Rattus norvegicus: one gene and its partners. The protein of the gene in region 2 purifies or fractionates together with the protein of the main gene of each other region. This does not show direct contact. Links are inferred from orthologs where the notes say so. Each region holds a gene or a part of one and is shown on either strand. Other genes may lie near its edges.

Region 1 (6,880 bases), on a different chromosome or scaffold from region 2:
TTTAAAAAAAAAAAAAACGAAAGTATTTTAGTCTTAAATGTTAAAACGGGATTGCTGGTCATTTGTTCTATACAGTTCTTCAATTATTTTATTAATTATCTAAGATTAATATTGCTCACTCTCTGTTTTATAGAACGTAATTCTGTCCAGTGCTGCAGAAAGGGTAAGCATAGCATGGAATACCTTGTCTCCGTGGTTAAAACGTCACTGTGCTCTCAGGACAACTGACGGACTGCCAGTCTGTGCTTTTAACTGATTTGCCATGGTGATTGCTAAGTATATCCCGTTCATGCGGCCTTCAGGTTGGGCCTGTGTATGTTTATATTAGGAAATAACTAGAAAACAGTGGTTTTACTTCTCCCTTTACCTTGTTAACAACGCCTTTATATGGTTTGTTATTTATTTTTAGAAAATTATCACAATTATAAGGATCTTAATTTATGAAATTTACTTATCTTTGGATACTGAGTTGTACTTACTTATTGTAAATAATTAAAATGTTAATAACATCTCGTTCTATTTTCTGTTTTCCTTATGTCAGCCTTTGGAAATAAGAGGACCATATGACGTGGCCAACTTGTATCCTCTGTGTTCTGTTTAAACATGTGTTCCTATTGGGTGTTGATCAGAAGACAAGTTCAGGAGTTCGGTCTCTCCTTCCATCCTGTGGGTCTTAGGCATCCGTCCTAGGCCACAGGGTTGGCAGCAGGCACCCTTACCTTCTGCCATCACATTGAGCTAGAATTTTCCCTTAGAAAATGTAATCAAAAGTGCTGTTAGAGTTAGCCTGATGTTCCTTATCCTTTGGTTGGAAATTTCCTGATCAGCTGCCTCACAAGCCAATTACAACCAGTTGTAGACTTCTTTATCCTTTCCTGGTTTTCTTTGTTTGTTTGTTTGTTTGTTTGTTTTCTTTTTTTCGGAGCTGGGGACCGAACCCAGGGCCTTGCGCTTGCTAGGCAAGCGCTCTACCACTGAGCTAAATCCCCAACCCCCCTTTCCTGGTTTTCTGATTAAGCAGAAGAAAAGAGAGGCGAGGGACTATGCAGGATGAAAACAGTTAAATGAGGCTTCTCAGGTGCAGTCTCAGTCGGGCTAAGACCTGCTGTAGAGTTAGTCTGTCTGCCACTGTGGCCAGGTGAGCTGTCCTCTGTTTGTGTTCGTGTTGTCTCCTACCCTTTGGCTGACTGGGTTGAAGTCCTTACTGACCCTGTCAGAGGGCTGCTGTTCGGGCTGTCCGAAAATGAAGGCAAGGCTGCCGTGTCCACAAACTGCCGAGCTGCATTTCTCCATGGAGGTGAGCATATTCATATCGTAGGGTCCCAGAGGCAGGTCATCGTCAATAATTGACGTATGTGTGCCCGTTACCCTTCCTACAGAGTTCCCATAAGGAACCAGTTCTAACCAGTTCTAACCAAACGCTGGTCCCTCCCCTCACTTCAGGCTTTACTTTCTGTAGTGTGCGTTATATGTCGTTATATGTCGTTTGCCTTACAGAAGTGACTCCACAGTGTCCTCTGCCCACATTCTCAGAGGCCTTTGACTCCCTCCTGCTTCTCACTGGATGGTCTCTCTCCCGGCTAAAGCCAAAAATAAAAAAATAAAAAAAAAAAAAAGTTTCAGGAACAGAAATGGGAATAGTAGTGTTAGTTTGACAGGATCTAGAACCATCTCATTCCAGAATCGCCTGTGAGGGGTTATCTAGATTACAGTGAGCCCCTGGGAATGCAAGGGTTTGGTTAGTGGATGTGAGAAGACCCTACTCCCTGGGTAGAGGTCCTGGATTGTATACGGCAGAGAAAGCAAGCTAAGCACCAGCGCTCAGACCTGTGCTCCTTAGCTGGGACTGCGACATGGCTGGGTGCTTCAGGCCTTGAGCTCTTGAGCTCCCTACCGTGATGGACTCACCTTGTGCTGTGGGCTGAAATAAACCCATTTACTCTATGAGTTGCTCTTATCAGGGTATTCTATAACAGCAACAGAAAAGAAACAAAAATATTAAACCATTAATTAAAAAAAACAAACATTTTTGGGTCTGGATAGATGGCTCAGTGGTTAAGAGCACTGACTGCTCTTCCAGATGTCCTGAGTTCAATTCCCAGCAACCACATGGTGGCTCACAACCATCTGTAATGAGATCTGATGCCCTCTTCTGGTGTGTCTGAAGACAGTGTCCTTACATATATAAAATAAATAAATGTTAAAAAAAAATTTTTTTAAGTCCAGCTATCTAAACTCAGTCTATAACTTTTGTGTTCATCATAACTCAGAATGTTTCTCATTTGGGTTTACGTGATCATGCATCTGCTGTTACGTATTTTGGGTGGGTTGGGGGTATTGCTTATGTAAAGATATTATACTAGGTTAAAAGGCCATTTCTTTGTAATTTAATAAATGTGCTTTGAGTATATATCCCTCCATACCCCTCCACCCTCCTTGTCTCACCCCCATTAGTCTCTTGTGCATACTCACACACACACACACACACACACACCGTTAGTCCTCTTTGTGCAGACTCTCCTCCAGTCGGTCCTTCTGACCCACTCCCTCCCACCACCTCCCATTAGTCCCCTTGGTCCTGAGGCAGGTCCCTCCGACTCCTGGACTTCTCCCATGGTCTGCACATGCACCGTTTGTGTACTGGAGTGGAGTGTGAAGCCCATGGTGAGAGGCAGAACCCACATCCCCTGCAGCACTGCTCTTCCCCCTTCCTCCTCACCCTGCCCTTCCTCAGTGTCACTTTTCAGTGTGCTCCTTAGTTCATCAGGCAGGTGACTGTCCTGTGCCTTCATTGTAATGTCTATTCGAAGTGCACTTCCTTCCCAGCATTTTGAACATGTAAGGATCTTACATTCTGTATAACAGCGCCCAGCCTGCTAACACGTGCTTAACACAAGTTGTCTAGATCTAAGTTCAGCTCCACTGCTAACTGAGCCGAGCATACAAGGCAATCCCTCTGCATGGTAGGTGGCTACTGTACACCAGGCCACTGTTGGTCAGTACAGAGGTGCAGTGACAACTAGGATAGTGATGGCATGTGGGATAGGAAGAGGTCACCACAGCCCTTGCTGTGGGAGCAGTGCAAAAATGCTTGTGGTTCCCTGTCTTTTTACCCTACATAAAGCAGCTGCTAGGCCACTTATGGCTGGCTCTGACCTGACCTCATCAGATGCCATGGAGAGAGCCGTGGAGAATCCCTGCTCTGCAGCTTACCTAAAGGAAATCCTTAGGAACAAACCAGATGGTCAAAATACTGATCATAACCGGCACCCACGCCCTCAAGAGCTCTCTCTGGCTTTCTTATTTACAGGGCTATAGGCCAAGGAAAATGGGGTAATGCTGGGTAAACCAACATCTGCTGCAGTCTCCGCTCTCAGGAGGCTAAGGCAGGAGGCTCAGAGTTGGCTGGACTGTGTAAGGAGTTCAAGGCCAGCCTGGGTACAGGTGAGATCCTGTCTCAATGAAACAGCAGTAAAACTGTGTTTATCAATGTGATTTCTGTGTTACAGAAACTAGGAAAACTGCTTTTGGAATTATTTCTACAGTGAAGAAGCCCCGGTCATCAGAAGCAGAGGATGAATCTCTTCCAGCGTGCAAGAAAGCTAAACATGAGGGCTGAGGAGACAGCCTGAGTCTCCATCACGCTGCTCCTCCCCTCACAGCTCATCAGTCACTGCAAATACACTCCGCTCGGCTGACGTTTTCACTAAACTAGAAACCAAGTCTATAAAAACAGCTTCATATTCAGACATTAAAACAGCAAATAAAACCCAGTGAAGCATTTTTAAAGACTAACGATTAATTTAGATATACTTTTAAAAGAAAAACTATTACCCTTCATGTGAGTAATGAATAGCAGTAGGTGCACTGAAACAAGATGTCTCGATATTGTAAAATATTGAAAAATAATAAATTAATGTTTTTTGTTCTTGGTACATATGGATTTGTAACTTTTACTATCCCAAAAAGTGGTTATTTTGAAGACTTAAGCTCTGTTGTGCAGGTGACTTTAACCAACTGATTATGTTTTAAGCTCTTTGATGTCCTGCTCGGGTTAAAGCCTTTCTGAAGGCCTCCTGGACCTGTGAAAGGAGAAGGGCACTCACAAGAGTTGCTTATCCCCTCTATGTGCTCCCTCCTGCCTTCAAGTTGTCCTGAAGACATATTCCTCCCTTTAGTTAGACATCATTCAGTAGCTAATACTGATTTTCCTAGTTGCTATAGGTTTAAAGCATTTGGCTCAAAAAAAAAAAAATCCTTTGGAAATAATTTTCAACAACAAGTTCATTAGCCTGAGTAGGCAGCCATCTCTGTAAATACCTGGATTTATGCCAGATTGACGTAAGGGCCCAAGGACGGGGTGGAGTTAAGGGCAGGAAGGAACGATGAAGAACGGTGTTCCGAAGATGAGGAGGCAGGTGTTTAAGACCGGGTGTATGCTGCTTTCACGGACATAGCTACTGAGATCAAATATTAGCAAGTAAGCACATGGTTAAAGTCAGTGAAGCTTTAGTCCAGGATTGTAAGGCTATCTTAGTTCTCTTTAAGGCTTTTGTTCTTTCTGTAGTAACAGAAATAAGGGGGAAATTAATATTCAAATAGGTAGCAGAAATGATGGAATGAAAACCAGTATCCACTCTTACATTTATACAGAGCAAAGGAAATCCTTGATGAGTCCTAGATGTGAAGGTTCCTGGCCATGACTGAAGCAGAAAGATCACAAGTTTGAGGCCAATGTGGCCTATGGAACTACAGTGGGGCAGTGGGGAAATATTGCATAGGCACATGTTTGTGCACACACATGTAAAGCATACTGACGGAAAATAGCATCGGTGACTGTTCACTGAATACTATTCTTGGGAAACCAGCCTAGACATCATCAATAGATGAATACATAAAGAAAATGTGTGTACATTTGATGGCCAATGTGACAGGATCTAGAATCAACTGGGTGACAAGACTGTGGACTGAGTACTTAGATTCGTTCGTTGAGGTGGAAGAACGCCTTGTGTGTGAGTGAAACTACTCCATGGGCTGAGGGCCTAGGTGTTCACAAAGAGAAAGTTAATAAGCACGCACAGACATCTGTCACTTCTTCCTAATGATAGATTCAGAATCGGCAGTGAAAGAGCAGGGAGCACAGGGTCCCACCCCAGTGGTGTGCTAGGTTGTTCACTTGGGGATACTGAACTACCTGGCTCTATGGGGAAGTTAGTAGAGTTAAGAGCAAACACTGAAAACAAACTATAATCTTCCTCTGCCTCACTTCATCTTTTTCCTTGCAGATGCCATTACTGCCAATGTTAAACAATTAATATTCATAGAAGCATTAGAGCAGGGCCTGCCATATAGAAAGTATCCATTCACTCTCCACTCTTACCCTTACAGGAGGTAAAAACTAAGCTCTCTGTCATACCAACACAGTAAATTCAGGTAGTTCCAAGCTTTGACAAGCCAAATTTGTAAATCAGCACAGAAAAGCAATAAGCCAGAAGATGATGTAAGCCTGCACCCCTACCTAGAACTTGGGATGTGGGGACAAGAGATGGAGTGGTTCAACATTCTCAGGTACATAGCAAGCTTAAGGCCAGCCTGGGCTACACAAGACCCAAAAACAAAAAACAAGTGAAAAGGCAAAATGTAGATTTCTAAAACGATCTTAGATTGGAATAAACTCAAGTATAATCATTGAAACCAGAAAATTAAATGTCAGTTGATTTCTATGAGCATATGTTAGAAGCTAGGATTGTGGCTCACTGTTGTGACACACTGAATTGTGGGTTCAGTCTCTAGCACTATGAAATTAGAATGTTCTGCCGGAAACAATATCGTCTAGGAAAGTTACCTTCAAATGATCTCCTTTGAGAGATTGGAATCACCATTCCTGACTTGTTTTCAAAAGTAAACAACTAGCGGTGGGTGCTGCATACCTGTAATCATAGCATTCAGGAAGCTTGGGAAGGCCAATCATGACTTTGAAGCAAAGCAGGACAACACACAAAGTTCAAGACCGGTTAGGTACATAGTCAGATTCAGTCTCAAACATAATACCATGATAAATAGCGCTAGTGTCGGTCCAGACCCCTTTCCCAGGCTTGCAGACCTATCCTCCAGATGGTCCAGATATTGGGTACTAAAAAATACCCTTCCCCCAGAGCATTAACCTTACCTCACAATGCCTGGGAAGTCTTACTGCACTGTGAGGCTAGCCTGGGGCCAGAGCCTGAACATTTCAAGGGCTTAGCTGAGGATAGCTCTCTCCTGAGACCACATCCTCCCCTTTTTCATCCTGTCCTATTTCCTCTTTGCAGAGCAAATAAAGGATGCAGCACATCCTCAATAAATAAAACACTTGTATGAGATCCTCATTTCAAGAGGGACAAACTTCATTAAGTAAAAAACAATAGAACAAGTAAGGATCAAAAAGCACTCAACAGACACGAAAACGCTAGACTTTACTAGTCATCGCTGATGTGTTTGCTAGTTAGGTTGGGAAAGTTTAAAACAGATGTAAAGTTAATGTTTTCACAATTGGCAAAGGCTGTAGAATATTTTGAAAGTGGCCACAATCTAACGTCAACCTTAATAGAGATGTCTACAATTTATTCTTCAAAAGTAAGTAGGGAGGTTGGGGATTTAGCTCAGTGGTAGAGCGCTTGCCTAGGAAGCGCAAGGCCCTGTGTTCGGTCCCCAGCTCCGAAAAAAAGAACCAAAAAAAAAAAAAAAAAAAAAAAAAGTAAGTAAAGTTAGAGCTTGACATGGTCACTCACGATAATCTCAGCATTTGGGGGGATCTTTGAGTTTATGGCCAGCCTTGGCTACATAGTAAGATTCTCCTTTTAGGAGAAAGAATAAAAAAAGAAAAAGAAAACTGGCTGGG
Region 2 (7,823 bases):
GCTTCACGCCCTGTATGCAGCTAAAGCTAGTTTTGTTGGTTGATTTTTCTGGATCATGGCTTGTGCCCTCCCTACATCAGCATGAAGGGATTGTATGATGGCTTGTATGATAGATGCCTTCCTACTTCTTTACTCAGATATGCCTCTTGTGGCTATTCTTTCTCATTCTCATGACTAAAAAAGTCATTCTTTCTCCCCTGTGTACAATATTCCCTGACGCATCATCTGTAAGTGCTACCTTGGTGATCTTCAGCTGTCTTTGTTTTCACTTGTCTTGAAATGTTTCCATTTCATCAATGATTTTATTTTGTTTGTTGGTTTCTCTACACAGAGTTCCCTGTCCTGGAACTGAACATGTAGACCAGACTGGACTCAAACTCAGAGATCTTCCTGCCTCTGCCTCCAGAGTGTTGGTTTTAAAGGTGTGACCAGCACTACCTGGCTTCCATCAATGATTAAGTTAATTTGATGAAATTAATTTTTTGATATGGAGTCTTATGTAGCTCCTGCTGATTTCAAATTGCTACAAAGCCAAGGATGATCTTACCCTCCGGATTCTCCTGCCCTCACCCTCCAATTGTTCGGATTAGAGACATTTTCCACCATACCTGGCTCATGTGGTTCTGGGGGCAGAACCCAGGGATCTGTATATGCTAGACAAGAAGCTTACCAACTGATCAACAGCACTGGCTTCAGCACTGATTTTAAACGATGTTTGTGCTGCACTCAGCAAGCCTGGCTGGCAGTTATGTGCTTTCAGATCTTGTTATATTATTGTTTCATGCCTTCTTAGCTTTCAGGGGTGAAGCTGAAAGATATATGTTATTCTTCTGTCTTCGCCTTTGTAGCTGAGTTAATGTTTTTTTTTCCCTTACAGCTTTTAATATTATTTCTTTTCCTTACATTTTTTACGTCCTCATCATGTCCTGGAAAGGGTCTGGCCATTGTCTATTTGAGGTTGTAAACGTCTCTTGTGTTTGGATGCCCAGATCTTTCTCTAAATTTGAGTTGGTTTTTTTTTCTGCTATAATTTCATTGAATAGATTCTCTACACCTTTAGTTTTGATCTCAGCTCCTTGCTGGCTCATAGATTCTTAACTTCTGTCACTTGATCATAACCCAGAGTTCTTGAATACTGTGGTCCTGTTCCTTCTTTTCTTTATTGATATTTGAAGGTATGGTTTTCTCGACCTTGTCATATCCTTTGTTCTGCTTAGTCATGTCTATTGGTAACACTTTACCCTCTGAGTCTTTACTCTTTTTTTTCTTTCATTTCCACAATTACTATTTGTGTATTTTTTTTGTCAAAATGTCAGTGTCATAGAAGAATTATTCTTTAGCTATAGATCCTAAGAACTCTGAAGCTCCAATAGACTATCTGATGTCCACAACTGCATCTCCCAGCCGACAATCAATACTTAAGAGAGATTGAAAAGTGCAAGACAAGCTCTCTGCCCACACAGGCAGTGCTCTGGTTTCTTTCCTCTTTCCCAAAGGACTGAGGAGACAACCCTCAGCTAGAACATTAGCACCATGGGAAGTATGACCTGGGGAATCTCTGGAGAATGAGAGAAGTCAAAGCATAGACTGAAAAGCTAAGTGCGGTCAGCAGAGACGCCTGAAGAACAAGGTGAAGTTATGACAAGACAGCTCGGGAGGACACATAACACTTGCTCAAGACAGGCTCAAGACAAGAGTCTGCAAGGTCAATGACACTCTCTCCTCGCCTATTCCAAGCACTACAGAAGAGGCTGCTTCAACATCTATCTCCTCGCTTTCCTTTCTCCCTTTCCTTCTACCTTTCTTCCCGTTTTCCTCTTAGCACACTGTTAGTGTTTCCCCTTTATCACATGCCTTAAAAGCATTTTTATTTCTCTCTCGTACATTTCACACCTCATGCAGATGTTCATCTTATTCATATTCTCCACTACTTTCTTTTTCCTTTTACTTCTCTCGTATTTATATAATTCAGTATTCAAGATTTTTTATTTTTGAGATTTCCCCCTTTTGTTTTTTTCCCCCTAAACCCTTTCCCTTTTCACTCTCCATCCATGACACACTTTCCCATCCCCCCTTCTCTTTCTTTCCTTAGGCTTGCTTTCATTTTCTTGCTATTTTCACATTTACCCTACATAGTCGTTAACTCCCTAGCATATTCTACACTAGTATGGTAAATTTCTGTTTCATGGCTATTAGTAATAACAGCAACTTTGGGTGTATTTCTATATCTTCCATTTTGTTACTGTCTCAGCCATGTGTTTACTCTTTTATGAATACTGGTGACTGAGTCCTGGAAAGTAGGGTGCTCAGTAATAACCGTATGTCAAAACCACACGCAGAAACAAAGGAAGGATGAATGAAAAAAACATGGCAACAGGAGTCTTCCAAAACAAAATCAATTATCTGGGCGTGGTGAGGCACACCTTTAATCGCAGCACTCAGGAGGCAGAGGCAGGTGGATCTCTTCAAATGTGAGAGCAGCCTGGAGTATACATTGAGTCCCAGGCCAGCCAGGATATATAATGAGATCCTGCCTCAAAACAAAATGACTTAGCAACTGGATTCGGAGATACTGAAATAGGTAAAATGCTGGGAGATTTCAGAAGTTTACTAGTAAAAATACTTTAAGACCTCAAGAAAGATTCAAACAAAAAATTAATTCAATCAAGGACCTGGAGAGGAACGTTAGCTGTACATACATACATACACACACACACACACACACACACACACACACACACACACACACACACACACACACACAGAGAGAGAGAGAGAGAGAGAGAGAGAGAGAGAGAGAGAGAGAGAGAAGAGAAATATGGCTTTTAAGAATTAACTATGGGGGGGGGGTTGGGGATTTAGCTCAGTGGTTAGAGCGCTTACCTAGGAAGTGCAAGGCCCTGGGTTCGGTCCCCAGCTCCGAAAAAAAGAACCAAAAAAAAAAAAAAAAAAAAAAAAGAATTAGCTATGGGGGCTGGAGAAATGGATCAGCGGTTAAGAGCACTGACTGCTCTTCCCAGAAGTCCTGAGTTCAATTACCAGCAATACATGGTGGCTCACAACCATCTGTAATGGGATTCGATGCCCTCTTCTGGTGTGTCTGAAGACAGCGACAGTGTACATGGAAGTACAATTCAGCAAAGAAACTGAGATTTTGGGAAAATCACAAAATAGTAATGTTGGAAATGAAAAAAAAATGAATCAAGTAATCGAAAAACAAAGCAAAGAAGTCCTGTTGGAAATGAAAATGCAGAAATGCCATATTATCTTCCTCCACAATTTCCTATACCTTTTTGGGAAGGCTCCGTGGGAACTTAAGGGTGGGTGAGCATTAGGAACCAGATCATGTGAGGAGCCAGGAAAACAGTGTGCCGCACAGCAAATGAATTTTCTGACTGTACTAGGCCTTTCCTCTGTCCTATCTTCCCCTTTTTCATAAGGTGGAAGGGTGCAGGCCTTCTCTGGGTCCATCCCAGGTATGTGCACTGTTCCTCCAGGGAAAAACTCTGTCGGATAGAATGGACGTGCCAGGTTCTTGAGAACCTTCAGACTCAGTGCCCCCAGGAGTTGACCGAAAGGGAAAGGGAGAGGGAAGGAAAGAAGGGTTGGGGCGTGGTGGAGGGAGGGGCGTAGTCAGAAAGCGGCGAATGGTAGGATAAGGGGCGGGCCGAGGGGGCGGGCCGGGAGGAGAGGCTCGCCTGGACACTTCCTTAACATGGCGACGCTGCGCAGGCTTCAGGAGGCGCCTCGGCACTTACTGGTCTGTGAGAAATCCAACTTTGGCCACGATAAGTCTCGCCATAAGCATCTCGTGGAGACGCACTATCATAATTACAGGGTGAGTCAGGTCCACCCGGTCTCCCTTGGGCTGGAGAGATTTAAGGTAGAATCACGCCGTGCATCACCCGGCAAGACCTCCTCGGCTTCAGAGGGTGGGCCGAGTTCGTCCTTCGACATGCTGGGAACTGTAGTCACTTCATTTTGCTATTTGCCTTGCTTGGCACTGTATAGGACTACAATTCCCAGCATGCACCAGACGCAGGGTGGCGCTCGGTCCTATGAGGAACAGCGGAGTTTTAGTTTGTGAATTTGGCTGGTTGGTTCAAGATTGAGACCCTGGGTAACTCAATGCGGGGGTCGGGCAGGCACGGAGGAGTTAGGAATGCAACCTGCACAACACGTAGCCGACTTGCTCCCTAAGTCTGTGCAGTTCTCTGTGAATCAGCTTGTGACTCTTTCCAAAGCATCACGCGGTTTGACAACCGAGGAACTCCAAAAACACTTACCTTAAGGTGATAAGGGCTTAAGCATTTTACACCTTAAATATCGGCCTGATAGGTTTCTCAGATAAATTAGCTGATGTCTTTGTCCGTAAGGAACAGGTTAGGCTGGTTGTTGGAGCTTTGCGGAACGGACTTTAGATGTGCGCTTGGGGATCATTTGAAATCCGCGCGGATTTTACATCTCTTTGGTTGAAAGTTATGCCTGCGGTCAGAGATGTATGTCTAGGAAATGGAAGCTTCCAGGAGCACTTCTCCTTCTATATAACTTCTTACTAACTGAATGTCCCTAAATTCCTTGTGTTCTCAGGAGCAGTTTCTTTGATTTCATGACTCCAGAGTAAGCAAATCAAGACTTGTTGAATTATCCTCTATTTCTTTGAATATAAGGTGTGAAGGACATAAGATATACTACTTATATGCAAAAGATGAGATTCAAATAATACTTCAATTACAATATTTCTGCTTAGTCTCTTGCCTCACATTGAGATACAGAAATAAAAAACTTGAATAGTCAAATATCTGTTTGCCTGAGATTAATAGATTAAAAGAATTGTTGCCTAGCAAGTTTAGGTGATGCACACCTTTAAACCCAGGCAGAGATGGGTGAATCTCTGAGTTCAAGGCTAACCTGATATACAGAGCAAGTTCCAGACCAGCAAGGAGCAAGGGTTACTCGGAGAAACCCTGTCTTGAGGCCTGGGGGCGTGTGTGGAGGTGACTCTGTGTGTGTGTGTGTGTGTGTGTGTGTGTGTGTGTGTGTGTGTGTGTGTGTGTTGTGTGTGCTTGTGCACACATCTGTCTTATCTAGGGTTTTCCTGCTGTGAACAGACACGGTGACCAAGACAACTCTTATAAGGACAACATTTAATTGGGTCTAGCTTACAAATTCAGTGGTTCAGTCCATTATCATCAAGGCGGGAACATGGCAGCGTCCAGGCAGGCATGATTTTAAGGAGGAGGAGCTGAGAGTTCTACATCTTCTTCTGAAGGTTGCTAGGAGGAGAAGACTGGCTTCTAGGGAGCTAGGATGAGGGTCTCAAAGCCCATGACCACAATGGCACACTTCCTCCAACAAAGCCACACCCACTCCAGCAAGGCCGTACCTCCTAATAGAGCTACTCCCTGGACCAAGCATGTTCAAATCTTCACGTTACCCATGTTTGTATGTCCCACCAAAACTTGTGAAGGAATAACTAGCAATTTTGATATTCCATTTCTAAAACCATAGTGTTAATCTTCATAAAATATAACTTTGTTTGTACTCCTACATTCTAATAGGTTTCATTTCTTATTCCTGAGTGTGGGCTGCTATCAAAAAAACTAAAAGACCTGGTCATGGAAATGGGACCCTATTACTCTGTGAAGAAGTTACCTCTTCATGAATTAATTACACATGAATTCATCAACACCTTTGTAAAGAAAGGTAAGAGGAAGCATTTAGTGTCTCATAGGAACAAACAGAATGAGAGCTATGGGAAGACCTCAGGAAAATATTGGGGCTCTTCGTGTGCTTGTAAAAGGGCCCGTGGAGGATAGATCATGTGGTCAGCTGCATGCGTCCCTTCTCTATCCATCAGTGTTGTCGTTTTCTTTCCTGTGTCCTCTTTATGTGATAGCTAAATATCTTACCAAATTTAATTAGCCCTTGCAATAACTCAGTGAAATAGGTTGAATCCCTACAGATGACCATGAAGAAGTTTTTAAATTTTAACTTGCTCAAATGGTTTCTGAATATTAACTTAGAACTTTACATCAAACTTTTGTCCTCTTGCCTCTTTGTGGCACACCTTTCTGCTAGAATCCCCAAGACTATAGGTTCTAGTCTGCAAGTAAACTCTCACAAAAAGACCCCAAATGTGACCTGAGTAGTGGGGTGATCTAGCTGGAACATAGCATATGTGTGTGTTCCAACTTATCTCTGGGGTGTATTGGGTTTTTTGAATGCGTTAGAGCTGTGCTACATACTGACTGTTACCTACCTGGAAGTTTGTTGTCATGGGAAAATAATTCATAAATAAATGTTGTGCTATTTTATTTACCTAATGACTTTTCTTGACTTTTTCTTACAGGTTCACTCTCTGCATTAACGTACAATACAAGTATTGATGAGGATAATACTGTTGCTCTCCTACCAAATGGTGACAGCATTCATTTTTTTTCTCCTTTCCTCATTAGAAAAGAAATAGCACTGCTTTAAAAAAAAAATTAAGGAAGGTAGAGAGATGGTTCAGCATTTAAGAGCACTGGTGGCTCTTCCGGAGGACCAGAGTTCAGTCCCCAGCACCCACTTGGTGGCTTACAACCGTCTGTAACTCTAGTTCCAGTAAGCCCAGCGCCCCGTTCTGGTCCCACAGGCACCGGGTACATACATGGTGCACAGATATAACATGAGGACAAAACACCCACACACATAAAAGTAATAAAATAATAATTTTTTTAAAAAGTCAAGTCGTATAGCTTTAAACAGAGTAAAATGAAGCCCATCTTTGTGCCCCTGACTTTCTTCTTAGATGGCACGGTTTGATGTTTATTCTTTAAGAATTTATAAGCATACATATTTTTGTTTGTTTTGTTTTGAGACAAGGTATCTCTATGTAACCTTGGTTGCCCTGGAACTCACTCTGTAGAACAGGCTGGCCTTAACCTGCCTCTGCCTCATGAGTGTTGGGATTGAAGACCTGTGTCACCAGCACCAGCAAGCGTAACATTTTTACACATTGGTGGACATTTTTTCTCAGTAGTCTTATTTCCCAGAGTTTATGACATAGACACGTTCCTGCTTCAATGCATATAGTTGTGACTTAGACGTTTTTTGAGGTGGGATCTTGCCACTTAGACCAGAGTGGCCTCAGATTTTCCTTCCTCCTGCCTCAGCTGTCCAAGTGCTGGGATTGCACACACGAACCAGCACATCTCTACCTGGCTTTAACATAAAGCTTTTAAATGTTTTGAAGGTATTTGAAGTGGGGGTGGGTGGGCACATGGCTCAATAGTGTGGAACGATTCCTGTCATTGTAGAGAACCCAGATTCAGTTCCCAGCACCCACATGGCAGCTCACAACTCATATTCTAGGAGATCGGACATCCTCTTCTGATGTTGGCAGGTTCTTTGGTGTAATTACAACCAGGCATACAAGTACATTAATCTAAATTAAACTTTAAAGAAGATATCTGGAGTAATTTACAGACCACAGTTTATTTCTTCCTTTATACAAACTTAGTTGTTTGTAGTTTTGCTGTTGTAATATCTACATATGTATATGTGGTAGACAATACCACCAAGCCTGGTGGCTCTCACCTGCAGTCCCAGTATTCGGAAGGCTGAAACAGGATGATTGCCACCAGTTTGAGCCCAGCCTCAGCTACAGAGCAAAGTTCCAGACTAGTTGGGTACATTGCTTGATAGTATCAATGTGCTGTGGATAGTTTCTTCACGTGTTCTTACACTGACATTTCGCCGCTCTGACGCCTAACTTTTGTAGAGAGAACATCAGCCGTATTTTAACTTCTCTATTATAGGAGCTATTGTTTGATTTGTAG
Region 3 (6,932 bases), on a different chromosome or scaffold from region 2:
TGCTTCCATATGTTAAGTATGAGCCCCTTAATATGGATGCTGGGAACCAAACTCAAATCCTTTACAGAGCATGGACTGGTTCTCTCTCTGTAAACTGCTCTATCTAAGGCTCTCCCCACCTCTGTCTCTCCCTGCCCCCATCATCATCGTCACACACAACCTAATTTTGTTTCCTCTCCTCAATCTTTACTTTAAAAAAAAAGGGGGGGGGGCTGGAGAGATGGCTCAGCGGTTAAGAGCACCCGACTGCTCTTCCAGAGGTCATGAGTTCAATTCCCAGCAACCACATGGTGGCTCACAACCATCTGTAAAGAGATTTGATGCCCCCTTCTGGTGTATCTGAAGACAGCTACAGTGTACTTATATATATAATAAATAAAATAAATCTTAAAAAAAAAAGGTGTCTCATGCAGCCTAGGATAGCTGAAAAATGCCATGTTGCTAAGGAAGACCTTGAACTTCTGATCCTCCTATCTCTCACCCCTCCTTCTGCAATTTTAAGATTTTATTTTAATCACAATTTATGAAAAGTAACAACAGCCACTATGTCCCAGGAACTCAGGAGCACAGGGAGCAGGCTATTATAATTACCCTCCTTTTGCAGATGACAAACCAAGGCACAAGGGTTAAGTCAACTATCCAAGGTCACAAGAAGCAGAAAGAGGCTAATGAAGCTTGGACTGCCGGGTCAGTACCTCAATTATACAGGTTCCTCCAAGACTTTACGCTCACTTAATTTCCTATCCGCATTTTGTAATCCTTTTCTTAAAGAGAGCAACAAAATCTGGATGTGGCTGCAGAGGTAACAGATGCCAGTGTGCAGTTTTCTTGTAAGTATTTAAAAATACATTTACATATGCAAACGTATCCGCAGGGTTTGGCGGGCAACCAGCTTTTTTCAGCATACCGTCCTGGCTGCCTTTCTAACCATGATGTTGTGTGTAGCAAAGATAGTGCCTTTATTTACCCACTTTCCCCATATTGAACCTTCTTTCTCCTCCCGCTGTCGTCTGTCCCCTTTCGGAAGGTCCCTACCCATTTCGCACGATTTCTCCTTTGGCCGTCTTCCCATCCTGGTATCCCTTCTCACATAACCTTCCTCTTCATCCTCCTCACTTAATCTCCTTCCTTCCAGTCTCCCGAGCTTCTCTCCTCTCTGACACCAAGGTTTCTTCACGGTCCAACCGGTTTCTTCGGCTCACCGCCCCTCTGCCAGTTCTGGGCTTTAAGGCTGCCAGCACCACCCAGTCCCCGCATCCTTCCCCCATCACCTCCCCCGCTGCCGCCCCTCCCGGGCCGGGAGGGAGCGCACAGTCGGCAGGCGACAGAGAGAGCTGACAGCGTAATGAATGGCTTCAGCTGTAATTAGCGACCCCGCGGCTAATCACGATGTGCATTTACATTTTAAGTGCTGCAGAGGGAGCGGGAAAGGAAGCTACGCGGGCGGGGAACTGGGCCTTTTCTGCGTTCTCCCTCCACAGACTCGAAAATAAAGTGAATAGGGGAGTCTATGGCAGAGGGTAGTGGTGCTGAGAGGGGGTGGCGGTGTCCTTGAGGGCCAACTTGGGTAGAGGCACAACCACCCCTTCCTTATGGAACAAACTTGCAGTCCCCAGGTCTTCCAAATTATAGAGTACTGCCTACAGGGTCTCCAAGTGTTTAACTCAGGCTTGCATACTCCCAGGGACGCAGAGCTCGCTTCTTTTCCAACCAGCACACTCCTACATAGCTTCTAGTCTTTCTGGAACTTTTTCTCAAGCCAATCCGAACCTGCCGACTTTAAGTTCCACCACTTGCCCAAGAGCACAGCAGAGGTGGTGTCGTCCCAAGGTTGGGCCTCCAGAGCCTGCTCCTTCCTTTGAAGTCTGCAAGAGTTGGATCTAGGACAGAGTCCCAGTTCCAGCCACACTCCTGGAGTGTGAGCAAGAGATTGGAGTCAGTCACTCACACTTGAGGCAAAAAAAAAAGTCCAGGTGCTGCAGCCACACTCCAAGAAGAGATGAGATATAAGGCCAGTGTTCTGAGCCGCGGGGCTGAGAATTGTCACAGACAGCAAAGAGGAAGAGGAGGGCCGGGTAGCTCTACTCCTAGACTGAAGCTATGTTCATCCAGATACCATCTTGCTGATACTTTGGAGAACACAGTTCCTTACAGTCCTTAGTGCTTCTTCCTTCCCTGTGCTTTAACAGGTCTGTCTGACTCCCTGCCTTTCGTGGAAGCCGGTTGAAGACTGAGGACATGGTCCCAGGGGAGGATTAGATAGGGTCACTCTTTATTAAACCGTCTTCCTTTCATCAGCCCTTGGCCCCTAGCCTCATCTTTCTACGCTCATCTCACCTCCCAGCAGAGCCCGAGCCTCTCCTTAGATTCTGTGGAGTTTCCAGAGTTTGCAAGTACTCCCACCCCCAACATTCCACCAAGGCACTCCACCCTGCCTCCCACCTCTTAAAACCTGCCTTCTCTCCGTTTAACAAAAACAATCCTCTGGATTTCTAGAGGCCAAGGCTGACTGGCAAGGAATTCCACCTGGAATTGGAAGTCAGAAATCCGCGTTAGCACGGGCTGAGCCACGCACTTAAAAATACACGCAGCTCTGGTAACGGACTTTCAGGCATAAATGTTAGAATTTAACGCCTTGGAAGAAATGGTCCCCTGTTCCCCATTCACTTTAGGCAGGCCCAACGCATCACTTCCCACATTTCAGAGATGTATAGGTGCCGGGAGCCTGGAGGTATGATCAAGAGGAGCAAAGCTGAAACTTAAGTCATTCCAAGCAGCTACTGAAAGACCAAGCCACGACGTAGCGGTCCCAGCCCAGGGAAGGCGCTGCGTGCAGCCGCAGCCAACGCCTCCCACACTCTGCTGACCATGCACTGGCTGTCCTTGACGCAAGAATATATAGAGAGAAAGGGAGGGAGGTCCCTGGAGGGCTGGAGAAGCGAAGCCCCAAGAGGTGGTTTGGAAATCTCTTACCTAGGAGGGGTCTAGGGATGCCCTTGAGCTGGAACTCGCAAGGCTTAGGGACTAGGCTTGAATCGGCGTTTGCACCTCAAGCATAGTTTTTATTTAGGTTGTTCCTGCAAGAGGGCTGGTTCAGGGAGGACAGATGGTGACTTCGGGGAACTTCACCTCCCAAACCACCCCTGCTCAGCCGCTGAGCACCAGCGCTGGATCCCAAAGGCTGGCGGGGCTGGGACTAGACACGCAGAGTTGGGGCGGGGCCTGGACTAAGGGGCAGGGCCTATCCCGCTCCCAGGCGGAGCTTCTGCTAAAGGCGCGGAGCACAAGGCTCCGAGGGCGCAGAGTAGAACAGCACTACCCTGTAGAAGTCTGGGCTGAAGACTCCGCGTTCCCTGCTCACCCTCCAGCTTTCACTCGGTGCCAGCATCCCAATTCCTGCCGGCCCTCGCCCGGCACGACCCGCGGCCATGCAGCCCCGGGCTTGAGGCGGCCCCATGGCAAAACCTGCGATCCCAGCGACGACGGCGCATGGAGAACTTCCGTAAGGTGCGCTCGGAGGAGGCGCCGGCGGGGGACGGTGATGAGGGTGGCAGCCCGAGCTCTGGCCCTTTTGCAGATCTGGCGCCTGGTGCTGTACACATGCGGGTCAAGGAGGGCAGCAAGATCCGCAACCTGCTGGCCTTCGCCACCGCTAGCATGGCGCAGCCAGCCACGCGCGCCATCGTCTTCAGCGGCTGCGGCCGGGCCACCACCAAGACCGTCACGTGCGCCGAGATTCTCAAGCGCCGCCTGGCGGGCTTACACCAGGTCACGCGGCTGCGCTACAGGAGCGTGCGCGAGGTGTGGCAGAGCCTCCCGCCTGGGCCCACACCGGGTCAGACGCCCAGCGATCCGGCCGCCAGTCTCAGTGTACTTAAGAATGTACCGAGCCTCGCCATCCTACTTTCAAAGGACGCACTGGATCCACGACAGCTTGGCTACCAGCCCCCGAACCTCAGTCCTGGTCCTTCGTCCCCTCCTACCGTGTCGACGTCCAAGAGGAGCCTGGGGGAATCTGCAGCTGGAGAAGGCACAGCTAAGCGGTCTCAGCCTGAGCCAGAGGCTGAGAATGAGGACCGGACTGCCTGAGAATTCTCGCCTCTGAACCACCTAGACTGGATCTTATATCTTCAACACACCTACATCCACATGCACCCTTCCTACCTGGGTTTTAAGGGGCCCATGTTCCTGAATATTGGTCCTCAAAATGACAACGCGGATCCCAAGGCGACAGGAGAGGGAGCTCAAGAATTACAAGAGAGGATTCTTGAAGTCCGAGGAAAACTTTGTGGGACATGTTGCCAGAAGCCACAGAACACCACCCACACCTTTTCTAGGCCATCTTTTTTAGGGAAGCCTGGTGGGTAGTGGGACTCTTGAGCTTTCTTGGGGACCCAGACGTTAAAAGCACCCAGTGTGCATGGAGGCTGACAGTTGAGGCTTTAAAAACCGTCCTTGTTGTTAACTGAGAGCAGGAGCTGTGAAGCTGTTTCCTTGAGGGTGACCAAGTTGAAAATGTCTGGACCCTGTTCTGCCCACCCACACCCTAGCATATTCCTTTTAGCTTCCCCCCACCCTCACCCCTGTTGCATGGTGGCAGAGACGGGACCCAGGAGGAAACTTGCCATGCTTCCTCCCCTGAGTCCTGCTGGAGTATTGCTTCCAATAAAACAAACATGAAAATGGCTCCGTCCCCAGTTTTGTCTCTTTTTTTTCCCTTACCCGCTCGCCTGTGCAGAGCCCACTTTGGCATGCTTGCCTTCAGCCCTATTAGCCTTTGGAGTCTTCAAGGTCAGACGCAGACGGGGCAGCGTCAAAAATGTCGAAAGAGGGACTTGTGGTGGAGGGGGTTGGAGGTCTGTGTCCCTGTTGTATCCCCACAAGGGAAAGGAAGCAGTGTTGCTGCTTTTCTGGGAGGGGAAGGAGGGGGAGCCTTGACGAGCTGGAAGCGGCAGCCTGCCAAGGCTGGCCAACCATGCTAAGGTTCTAACCTTGCACCCTCCTCCCAGTAGCCATTCTTACCCAGAGGCAGGCACAAAGCCCCAGGAGCAGGGGCTCCCCTTCGCTGCCCTCTCTCTGCAAAAGGACAGCACACCCTTGGGAGAGGGGGAGGGAGAGAGACAGCACAAATCCACTGCTGGAAATTACTATTCAGCAGAGAAGCTTGGGCTGTGAATCACTGCAGGCTCCCTGATAAGCTGCTGCCTTCAGCCCTGCACAGCTGTGGGTTGAGAGATAACAGCCTCAGATGCCTCTCAGCCCAAGTCCAAGTCTGGAGGGGGTGGGGGTATGCTGTGTGCTGTGGAAGTCGGGGAGCTGTGCAGCATACAGCTCAGGATCTTCAGGGCAGGCGCTACCCCGTGGAACTCAGCACCTCTGGAAAGGAGATGGGAGAGAACACATTTGTAAGTCACTTTGCTTGTAGAACCTTGAAATAAATCCCACTGGTGAGGATGTGGGTTTCTGCAGCTGATGGAGGGGCGCCTAGGGGAAAGCACTCTCCTCTCCTAACACTATCTCTGCTCTGTTTTGAATCACTGACTCGTGTCATCCAGACTGTCGTTCATTGCCCTCTGCCTCCCACCCACCCCCCTGACCTAATTATTTCTTTTTAGGGGAGGTCTGGCCATGTAGTGCAGACTGGATAATAACTGATCCTCCTGCCCCAGCCTCCCAAACGCTGGGATTACAGGTGTGTAATTTGTCCGGCCTTATTTCTTGTTCTTGAGGAATCTCTAGGGAGAGCCAAGGGGTTTAGATGTGTTTGTGAGCCTGCTATGGAGCAAGAAGCATGGAAGGAATGAAGGCTTGGCTGGGGAGGTAACTCGGCTGGTAGAGTGTTTGCCTAGCATGGATAGTCTCACTTTTTACTCGCAGCCCTGCCCACCCCAACTTGTCATGGTGGTGCATGCCTGTAATACCTGAACCATAGAGGTGGAAGGAGGAATACCAAAAATTAAAGATCGTCCTTGGCTACACACGTGGAGTTTGAGGCCAGCAACAGTAAACCATCCAGACAACTGAGGTACCTGACTACTGGACCACTGGGCTTCTGAAACTAAAGGAAAAGATAAGATATAGAAGTCATGAACACGGGGATTTAGCTCAGTGGTAGAGCGCTTGCCTAGAAAGCGCAAGGCCCTGGGTTCGGTTCCCAGCTTTGAAAAAAAGAAAAAGAAAAAAAAAATATCCTTTTAGGAGACTAGAGAGATGACTCAGCAGTTTAGAACACTGATTGCTCTATCAGAAGTCCTGAGTTCAGGGGCTGGGGATTTAGCTCAGCGGTAGAGCGCTTACCTAGGAAGCGCAAGGCCCTGGGTTCGGTCCCCAGCTCCGATAAAAAGAACAAAAAAAAAAGAAGTCCTGAGTTCAGTTCCCAGCAACCACATGGTGGCTCACAACCATCTGTAATGAGATTCAATGCCCTCTTCTGGTGTATCTGAAGACAGCTATAGTGTATTCATGTATATATATTGAGTTCCAAGACAGCCAGTGCTACACAGAGAAACCTTGTATCAAGAAACGAAACAAAACAAACAAATGAAAACAGGTTGTAAAGAGTAATTGGAGCTTGAAAGCTACAGGAAGAGAAGAGCTGAGACTCTGGTGTGGGATGATGGGATGGAGTGGGATGGTGGGACAGAGCAGATCTTAGCACTATTTTATTTATTTATTTTTTTTTTTATTTTCTTTTTTTTTTTCCAGAGCTGGGGACCGAACCTGGGCCTTGTGCTTGCTAGGCAAGCGCCCTACCTCTGAGCTAAATCCCCAACCCCCACTATTTTTTTTTAAAGATTTATTTTATTTATTATATATAAGTACGCTGTAGCTGTCTTCAGACACACCAGAAGAGGGCATCAGATCCCATTACAGATGGTTGTGAGCCACCATGTGGTTGCTGGGAATTGAACTCAGGACCTCTGGAAGAACAG
Region 4 (8,000 bases), on a different chromosome or scaffold from region 2:
AAATGGTTGAGAAGTACCTAAAGAAATGTTCAACATCCTTAGTCATCAGGGAAATGCAAATTAAAACAACCCTGAGATTCCACCTCACACCAGTCAGAATGGCTAAAATAAAAAACTCAGGTGACAACAGATGCTGGTGAGGATGTGGAGAAAGAGGAACACTCCTCCATTGTTGGTGGGATTGCAAACTGTTACAACCACTCTGGAAGTCAGTTTGGAGCTTCCTCAGAAAATTGGACATTGAACTGCCTGAGGACCCAGCTATACCACTCCTGGGCATATACCCAAATGATGCTCCAACATATAACAAGGACACATGCTCCACTATGTTCATAGCAGCCTTATTTATAATAGTCAGAAGCTAGAAAGAACACAGATGCCCTTCAACAGAGGAACGGATACAGAAAATGTGGTACATCTACACAATGGAGTACTATTCAGCTGGGGAAGTACTATTCAGGTGTAGGGAAATGCCAAAAACAATGACTTTATGAAATTCATAGGCAAATGGATGGAACTAGAAAATATTCTATGTGAGGTAACAAGTGGATATTAGCTCCAAAGCTCGAATTACACAAGATACAATCCACAGACCACATGAAGCTCAAAAAGAAGGATGACCAAAGTGCCAATGCTTCAGTCCTTAAAAGGGGGAATAAAAATATTCATAGGAGTAGGAAGTGAGACACAGTTTGCAAAGTTTGGAGCAGAGAGTGAAGGAATGGCCATTCAGAGCCTGTTCTACCTGAACAGCCACCAAACCTAGACAATATTGATGATGCCAAAAGTGCATGCTGACAGGAGCCTGATATAGCTGTCTCCTGAGAGGATCTGCCAGAGCCTGACAAATATTGAGGTGGATGCTCCCAGCCAACCATTGGACAGAGAATGGGGTCCCCAATGGAGGAATTAGAGAAAGGACTGAAAGAACTGAAGGGGCTTGCAACCCTATAGGAAGAACAACAATAACAACCAATCAGACACCCCAGATCTCCCAGGGACTAAAACACCAACCAAATAGTCCACATGGAGCCACCCATGGCTCCAGTCACATATGTAGCAGAGGATGGCCTTGTCAGGCATCAATGGGAGGAAAAGCCCTTGGTCCTATGAAGGCTTGCTGCCCTGGTGTAGGGAAATGCCAGAGTGGGGAGGCAGGAGGAAGTGGGTGCCTCATAGAAGCAGAGGGAGGGGAGATGAGATAGGGGGTTTCCTGAGGGGAACCTGGAAAGGGGATAATATTTGAAATGTAAAATAAAGAAAATATCCAATAAAAGAAAAGAAAAAACATGAAGTACGGAGCTAAACAGAGAAGTCTCACCAGAGAGATCTTTAATGGCTAAGAAACACTTAAAGAGTTGTTCAACATCCTTACTCAGCAGGTAAATACAAATCAAACAACTCTGACATTCCACCTTTCACCCATCAGAATGGCTAAAACCAAAAACTCAAATGACAGCGCATACTGGCAAGGATGTGGAGCAAGGGGAGCACTCTTACATTGCTGATGGGTATAAAGATTTGTACAACCTCTCTGGAAATCAATTTGCTGGTTTCTTAGAAAATTGGGACTAGTTCTACCTCAAGACCCGGCTATACCACGTGATCATATTCCCCAAAGATGCTCTACAAAGCCACAAGGACGCTTGCTCCTTCTGGGGGCTGGTGAGATGGTTCAGGGATCAAAAGCACATGTAGCATTTCCAGAGGTTCCACACGGGGTGGCTTCAAACCAACACACACACACACACACACACACACACACACACACACACACACACACACACTGACTGACTGACTGACTGACTGACTGACTTTTTAAAAACAATTTTTAAATATAGATTCTTGGTGCTGGAAGGACTCAGCATGAAGAGCAGCTGCTACCCTCCCAGAGGACCTGTGCGTGATCTCCCACCACACACATGGTAATTCACACCTGTCTGTAACTCCCCTTCCAGGGCTTCTTGACACCTCACACTGACATAACCACAGGCAAAACACCAATGAACATAAACTAAAAACTTTTAAAATGCAGATATTCCAGGCACCCTTCTGCTAGGTAACTCTAAGAGATGCCTACACATCAGAACTTTTGAAACCTTCCATTTCCTTGCTTATTCAGACAGGGTCTCCGTGTGTATGCTTAGACCTCAACCTCTCTACCCTCCGGCCCCAGCCTGCTGAGTGTGCACTCACTCACACTTGTGATAAACCTTATTGACCAAAGAGATCAGCACACACTTCATTTGCTCAGTCCATCCCTGTCCACTACTGTGTCCAGTACTTTGCTCTCATAAACAAGAACCACAGAAATCCTAGTAGGTATCTCTCTTCATATAGTTTTCTGAGGGTGACAAACTGTGAGGCTCTCCTTAAAAAGCAAAGGTTTTAGTAAGTATGCAACTGTGTGTCACTGTTACTCAGAAAAGCCCACACCCTACTGTGGTCTGAGAGTCACAGGGAATATTGGCAGATACCCAAAGCTAAGCTAGATATTTTAAAAGGGTCCATTAAGAGATTCCTAATAACTGGGCTAGAGAAAAAGGCTAGGCTGGGCCTTTGTGTCCCAGATCTATGGGAATCACTTTTGTCTTTTATCATAATGACAGACACTAATGTTCTTGGTCTGAAGGATGCTTTCTGGGTTGGATGTAATGAGAGACTGTAAATTCTAATGCTCCAGAAGCTCAGGCAGGAATATTACACTTTCAAGCTCAGCCTACACCACACAGCAAGTGTCTGGGAAACTTGGTCTTAGGAGTGAAAAAAAAAATCAGTTTAAAAAAGCAAACATTCTTAGACCATCAGAGTGCAATTTAATGAGCATAGGAAAGGAAGGAAGGCCAGCCGGAAGGAGGGAAGGAGGGAGGGAGGGAGAGAGAGGAGAGGGGAAGAAGGGAGGGAGGGAGGGAGGGAGGGAGGAAGGAAGGAAGGAAGGAAGGAAGGAAGGAAGGAAGGAAGGAAAGAAAGATGCCTTTTAGACATATAAAAATGTTTAGTCAAGGAACCCCACTACACCAAAGGCAGCACCTGATAATCAGAACCCAGTTTCATCACTCATTCAAGACAACTAGCCAGTCCTAGAACCCCATGCCACCCAGTGGAATTATATAAGCAGACACCAAGAGCAATTGTCTGGAGAGAAGCCACCTTGATCTGCCCTGGGGCTGGAGAGCCACCACCACCACCACCCCACCCCCGTACCCCCTCCCCGAACCCTACTGCCAGGATCCAATCAAAAACTTCTGTTAGAGACTGGGCCTGACCTTCAGCTAAGATAAGTCACACAAGAGGGGTAGCCTTAGGGAGATGATAGGCTTAGGAATGTAGTTAGGAATTTAGGGGGTGAACCTATGTAATGGCCCACAGCATAATAAAATGTAACTTTTGTTATACTAGCTACACTAACTGGACGTATCTACCTGCTTGCTCAAGACATCAAGTAAATCAAGTAAAAGAGACCTTTAAACGAGGTTATAAAGGTATTTAGTAGCAGAAACAGAACTAAATCCCCGGCCACCAGTACAAAATGTGCCTATTAATCTCGGGAGTAAATTCTGGGTCACCCGGGGCCACATTGTGAGCCCCTTGCATAAAAAAAAAAAAAAAAAAAAGTCGTTACCGCCGATATCCCCGGACCACTTGTGCCCTCCCTAGTCCCCGATCTCCCTCACGTCCTTTCTATGTCAGCTTGCCTCGCTATACTTCATTAATCCTGACCCTCGACCCGACCGCTCTCGGCACAGTCGGTTGCAAAGTGAACGACACAGCGAAGACCTGCAAACCTCGCCCCTCCCTCAAGCCACAGAGATAACCCCAAGGCGCATGTGTTGCCAGAGACAGACGCACATAGATGCCATCACGCCGATGACGTCAGAGAGGCGCCTGATCCGAAATTGACGCCGGCTGGAGCAAGTCCGTGCAGTTTGTAAATTGTTTCTTGGGCTTATCGGATTTTTTTCAGGTGGAAACTTAAACTTAAACAAAAAAGCATCCAAGTGGGGGTAAAAACCTCTGAACAAAGCGAAGAAAGGAAAAGAATGCATGAGGCCTGGAGGAGACATCATTAGAGCGCTCCGGAAGCTGGCCGACAATGAAGGGTAAGTGGAATGAGAGGCGCGGAATGGGGCCGAGGTGAGACTATAGAGCACCGGAACCAGAAGTTGGTCTGTGAAATGAGTCAGGGACACTTGTCAGAAGACATCTTCCAGGGAATGGACTCAGTACACAAATCGAGGCCCCAAGTCTGAATCGGCCGACTCAGTCTCTTAGCTAGGAATGGACGTCAGGATCGAGTGTGTGTGTGTCCTCCTCAAGGGCTTCTCAGGGGAACTAGAAGAGGTAGGTCCAAGTCCTTGACGGGACCTAGCCACTACCTTCCCATATAACTTATGTCTAGGGCCTGCTCCCCTCTACTCTCTGGCTTTTCACCCTTGCCCCTGCCCCTGTAAACACTGCTGAGGGGCCGTGTCGCACACCTAAGGCGTTGATATTTGAGCTGAAAAGACCTGCACCCAGAAGGGCAGTTAAGCACTGGAGCAGTATTAGAGTAGAGAGGGGATGCCGTAAAGATTAAGCCTCTGATCGGGCGATTCACACCCCTGTCCGTGCCCTTTTCTCAGAGAGCAAGTTTCTTAGCATGTCTTAGCTACAACCTTACTATGTGCATAACAAGGAGTAACTACTGTTTTAAATTGCTTAGAAAGATTAATGACATTAATATATACATATTATGCATACATATATGTGTGTATATATATATACACACACACATATATATGCACACACACTCACTCAACCAACTGCTCAACCAGCAGTGAGTGTCCCCTACCTGTTGCATGTTGCAGAAAGACTTTCAGTTTTGATGCTAGGCATCTGGGGTCAATACAACAAAGTTCTCCCTGGGGTTCCACTCTCAATAAACAAAAAAAGCACAATCTCAATCCATTGTTCAAGGGAGAACTAGATGCTGTATATAAAACTTGTAAGTGCCTTGGTTTGTTTGCTTGCTCAAGCATGTACTCAGGGAAACAGAGATGGATTTTTGTTTGTTTGTTTGTTTGTTTCTTACTGTTGCTGTTGGGATACAGCCAGCTATGTTCTCCTGGCTGGCCTGGAACTCACTGTGTAAAACCAGCTTGGCCTCTACCTCTCAAGGGATGGGGATGCCACCAAACTTAGCTCAGAAGTGGAATGTATGGAGTATGGTGTGAACTGCATTTTCTGGTCATGAGCCCCATGATGCTTTCCTCCAAACAAATGAGAAACAGGAGGTTTAAAGAGGTTTTGGCGGGGTTGGGGATTTAGCTCAGTAGTAGAGCGCTTGCCTAGGAAGTGCAAGGCCCTGGGTTCGGTCCCCAGCTCCGAAAAAAAAAAAAAGAACAAAAAAAAAAAAAGAGGTTTTGGCATCCTGAAGATGGTATTTAGAATTTGGAAAGAGACTATTGTATCTTATCTGGTCAGGATACATTATAGATTTTAAGGTGTGAAAAAACCTCTTTCAAGCCTCTCCGTAGTCAGCAAAATGTAGTGTTTCAACCATACGCATTAAGATCGCCTCACTTTTAGTGTCTAGACTTACTAGACTTACTGAGCCACTGCCCAAGCGTAATTATAACTCTTGGGTGTTTAAAATCAGATTAACTCTAAATGTGACCCATTGAGGAATTTTTTTGAACATGCAGAGTCGAGTAGGAACCAAAACCCTAAATTTTAATAAGATCTCAGTGATTCTTAAACACATTAAGCTTTGAGGGGTGCTTTTCTAAAAAAACTACATCCTGGGAATTTCTAGGATGAAGTTGGCAAGAGGGAAGGGTAGTGTGGTACATGTGTACCACTATAAGGTCAGTGTGGTGGTACATGTGTATAATCCCAGCTACTAGCACTTGGAAGCCTAAGACAGGACTGGTGTGGGTTGGAGGCCAGCCTAGGATACAAAGCAGACACGTAAGAGGGCTGGGGTCTACGTCCACAGTGAAGCACCTGCTCAGCATACATTACACTCCCCTCACATTAGTCCTCCAGCACTGCAGCATAAAATAAAAGGATCATCTTCTCTGAGTAAGTGTAGTTCTTGTCCTAGTTGGAAAAGCCTTGGCTATTATACTCGTTCCTAACAGGAAGAATCATTTCTCCTTGTTTTTGTCTTTCGTCCCCCAGCTGTGATCTACCATGCCTTTTCTCATAAAGAAGCCAAGGACCACGATGTGCAGGTACAGTCTGTCAGAGGTGACGGCAAAGGAGGCTCGGGATCTTCTAAGGCTGGTGTAACTGTCTTTTCCCATGGATTACGCCTCTCCTTTCCATTCTGTGTACTAGGCCCCATAAAAACCTTTTGTGCTGATGTCTTCATGAGCCAGACTCCTTCCTTAGGCTACCAGAGTCAGCTCTGAGGGACTTGGACTCCTTGATTTCCTGTCATCCCCCTCTCTGTAGGGATGACAGCCTCGCCCACCTGAAACCAGTATCCTGGGCAGTGCTCAGCCCGTTCCATAAGCCGCTGTTAGGAGTTTTGTCTGGGTGTTTCCGGATGCTTTGTCATTTGGGCAGAAGCTTCACCTATGGCTCCTAAAGGGAACATGTCCTTGAAATCAAGACTTCAAAAGGCCCGTTGACCTTCAGTTTTTAATCCCCAATGAAAGAGAGGCCACCTAGTTACAAGATCCGAAGTGTCCTCATGTCACTTGTTGATGAATTGTTGAGCTATCCCTGCTTCAGGCACCTCGAAGGTTATGTATTCTATATTTTCACTCCCTTGCTTTAGCATAGAGAGGGTGGAAGTCACTATTCATACATTACCCTAAAGCTGGCAGTTAACCCAGACTTCCCAGCAAATGACTCAGGGAAGAGGTCAGTCCTTAGGTAACAGGGTTTCAGTTGATGTTGCCCGGTGAGGAATACATTGTTGCTGCTCCAACTCCAGAGGACAAGTGATTAAAGAGGACTTTGAGGGGCTAGGGATTTAGCTCAGTGGTAGAGCGCTTACCTAGGAAGCGTAAGGCCCTGGGTTCGGTCCCCAGCTCCGAAAAAAAGAACCAAAAAAAGAGGACTTTGATATCCACTGTCCTCCTCAAAGGACTTGACCTTCCTGGAAACCCCAGTTTCCCCTAGTGCCGGAGTGGCTCATTTCCCTACCAACCCCCCGCTCCCTTCCCCTTATAAGCTGGTCATGACTGATTGGATAACCTGTATCATCCATGTCTCAGGCTTCCTTCCCTACAAGGATTAGAGAAGTACTAAATCACAATAGGGCTTGGATCCTCAGTAGAGGAATCTCAAAGAAGCAGGACAGGAAGTCAGTGTTTGAACTGGCTGCAGTGTGGGACACTGTCACAAGTACCATATGAGTGTTTCTTCTACATCTTGGCAGCTGTGTGGAGCAAACCCTTGGCAAAAGAGATTTGTGAGCCTCAGTGGATAGATAGACAGATCAGCAAAGATAGTGGCTCATTGGAACAGGGTATGAGGGCCCTGGTGTCTGGGCAGAAGAACAGTGAACAACACCCCCATGTCTCTGAGCAGGAGCTGGGAACCCAGCGGGCTGAGGCCTTTGTGCGGGCCTTCCTGAAGCAGAGCATACCTCACATGAGCCAACAAGACTGCGAGAGCCATCTGCAACGCAAGGCTGTGATCTTGGAATATTTCACTCGCCTGAAGCCGAAGCCAAGGCCAAAGAAGAAATCCAAAGGCCTCTCTGCCAAACAGAGGAGAGAGCTGCGGCTCTTTGACATTAAACCAGAGCAACAGAGGTATGCCCACCTTCCTAAAGGTCTTGCCTTCCAACAGTGCCTAGTCTTCCTTGTCCGGGTGTAGACTGGAGAGCCTAGAGCTCACTGGATATCTGTGCCCACTTAGGCTCAGGTACTTCTCTGCCTTCTGCCACAAGGGGGCAGTCTCCCCCTACCAATTTCTTTGTGCCTGTGCTTGGCCTCTAAAAGGCAGGCATTGGTGAGATTGAGGGTTCTCATCATGGAGCTTCTGTCCTAGCCTCACTAATA

What was found.
Region 1: the proteins of Rpp40 (region 2) and Rpp30 purify together in Homo sapiens (affinity purification with mass spectrometry; 3 studies listed by BioGRID and IntAct, counting the BioPlex papers as one, with this or other methods). This does not show direct contact. The link is inferred for Rattus norvegicus from reciprocal best matches to the Homo sapiens genes RPP40 and RPP30.
Region 3: the proteins of Rpp40 (region 2) and Rpp25 purify together in Homo sapiens (affinity purification with mass spectrometry; 3 studies listed by BioGRID and IntAct, counting the BioPlex papers as one, with this or other methods). This does not show direct contact. The link is inferred for Rattus norvegicus from reciprocal best matches to the Homo sapiens genes RPP40 and RPP25.
Region 4: the proteins of Rpp40 (region 2) and Pop4 purify together in Homo sapiens (affinity purification with mass spectrometry; 3 studies listed by BioGRID and IntAct, counting the BioPlex papers as one, with this or other methods). This does not show direct contact. The link is inferred for Rattus norvegicus from reciprocal best matches to the Homo sapiens genes RPP40 and POP4.

The regions. Positions count from the first base shown.
Region 1 is NC_086019.1:243,217,312-243,224,191, forward strand, and holds the end of Rpp30 (ribonuclease P protein subunit p30), read left to right. Parts: intron 1-133; coding exon 134-163; intron 164-541; coding exon 542-579; intron 580-1,217; coding exon 1,218-1,297; intron 1,298-3,509; coding exon 3,510-3,619; 3' UTR 3,620-4,248; downstream 4,249-6,880. UniProt on the Homo sapiens protein: Component of ribonuclease P, a ribonucleoprotein complex that generates mature tRNA molecules by cleaving their 5'-ends. Also a component of the MRP ribonuclease complex, which cleaves pre-rRNA sequences.
Region 2 is NC_086035.1:29,149,508-29,157,330, forward strand, and holds the start of Rpp40 (ribonuclease P protein subunit p40), read left to right. Parts: upstream 1-3,695; 5' UTR 3,696-3,715; coding exon 3,716-3,838; intron 3,839-4,047; exon of another isoform or gene 4,048-4,292; intron 4,293-5,561; coding exon 5,562-5,706; intron 5,707-6,352; coding exon 6,353-6,421; intron 6,422-7,823. UniProt on the Homo sapiens protein: Component of ribonuclease P, a ribonucleoprotein complex that generates mature tRNA molecules by cleaving their 5'-ends. Also a component of the MRP ribonuclease complex, which cleaves pre-rRNA sequences.
Region 3 is NC_086026.1:66,799,958-66,806,889, forward strand, and holds Rpp25 (ribonuclease P protein subunit p25), read left to right. Parts: upstream 1-3,304; 5' UTR 3,305-3,489; coding exon 3,490-4,089; 3' UTR 4,090-4,685; downstream 4,686-6,932. UniProt on the Homo sapiens protein: Component of ribonuclease P, a ribonucleoprotein complex that generates mature tRNA molecules by cleaving their 5'-ends. Also a component of the MRP ribonuclease complex, which cleaves pre-rRNA sequences.
Region 4 is NC_086019.1:100,100,992-100,108,991, reverse strand, and holds the start of Pop4 (ribonuclease P protein subunit p29), read left to right. Parts: upstream 1-3,935; 5' UTR 3,936-4,093; coding exon 4,094-4,100; intron 4,101-6,162; coding exon 6,163-6,215; intron 6,216-7,524; coding exon 7,525-7,751; intron 7,752-8,000. UniProt on the Homo sapiens protein: Component of ribonuclease P, a ribonucleoprotein complex that generates mature tRNA molecules by cleaving their 5'-ends.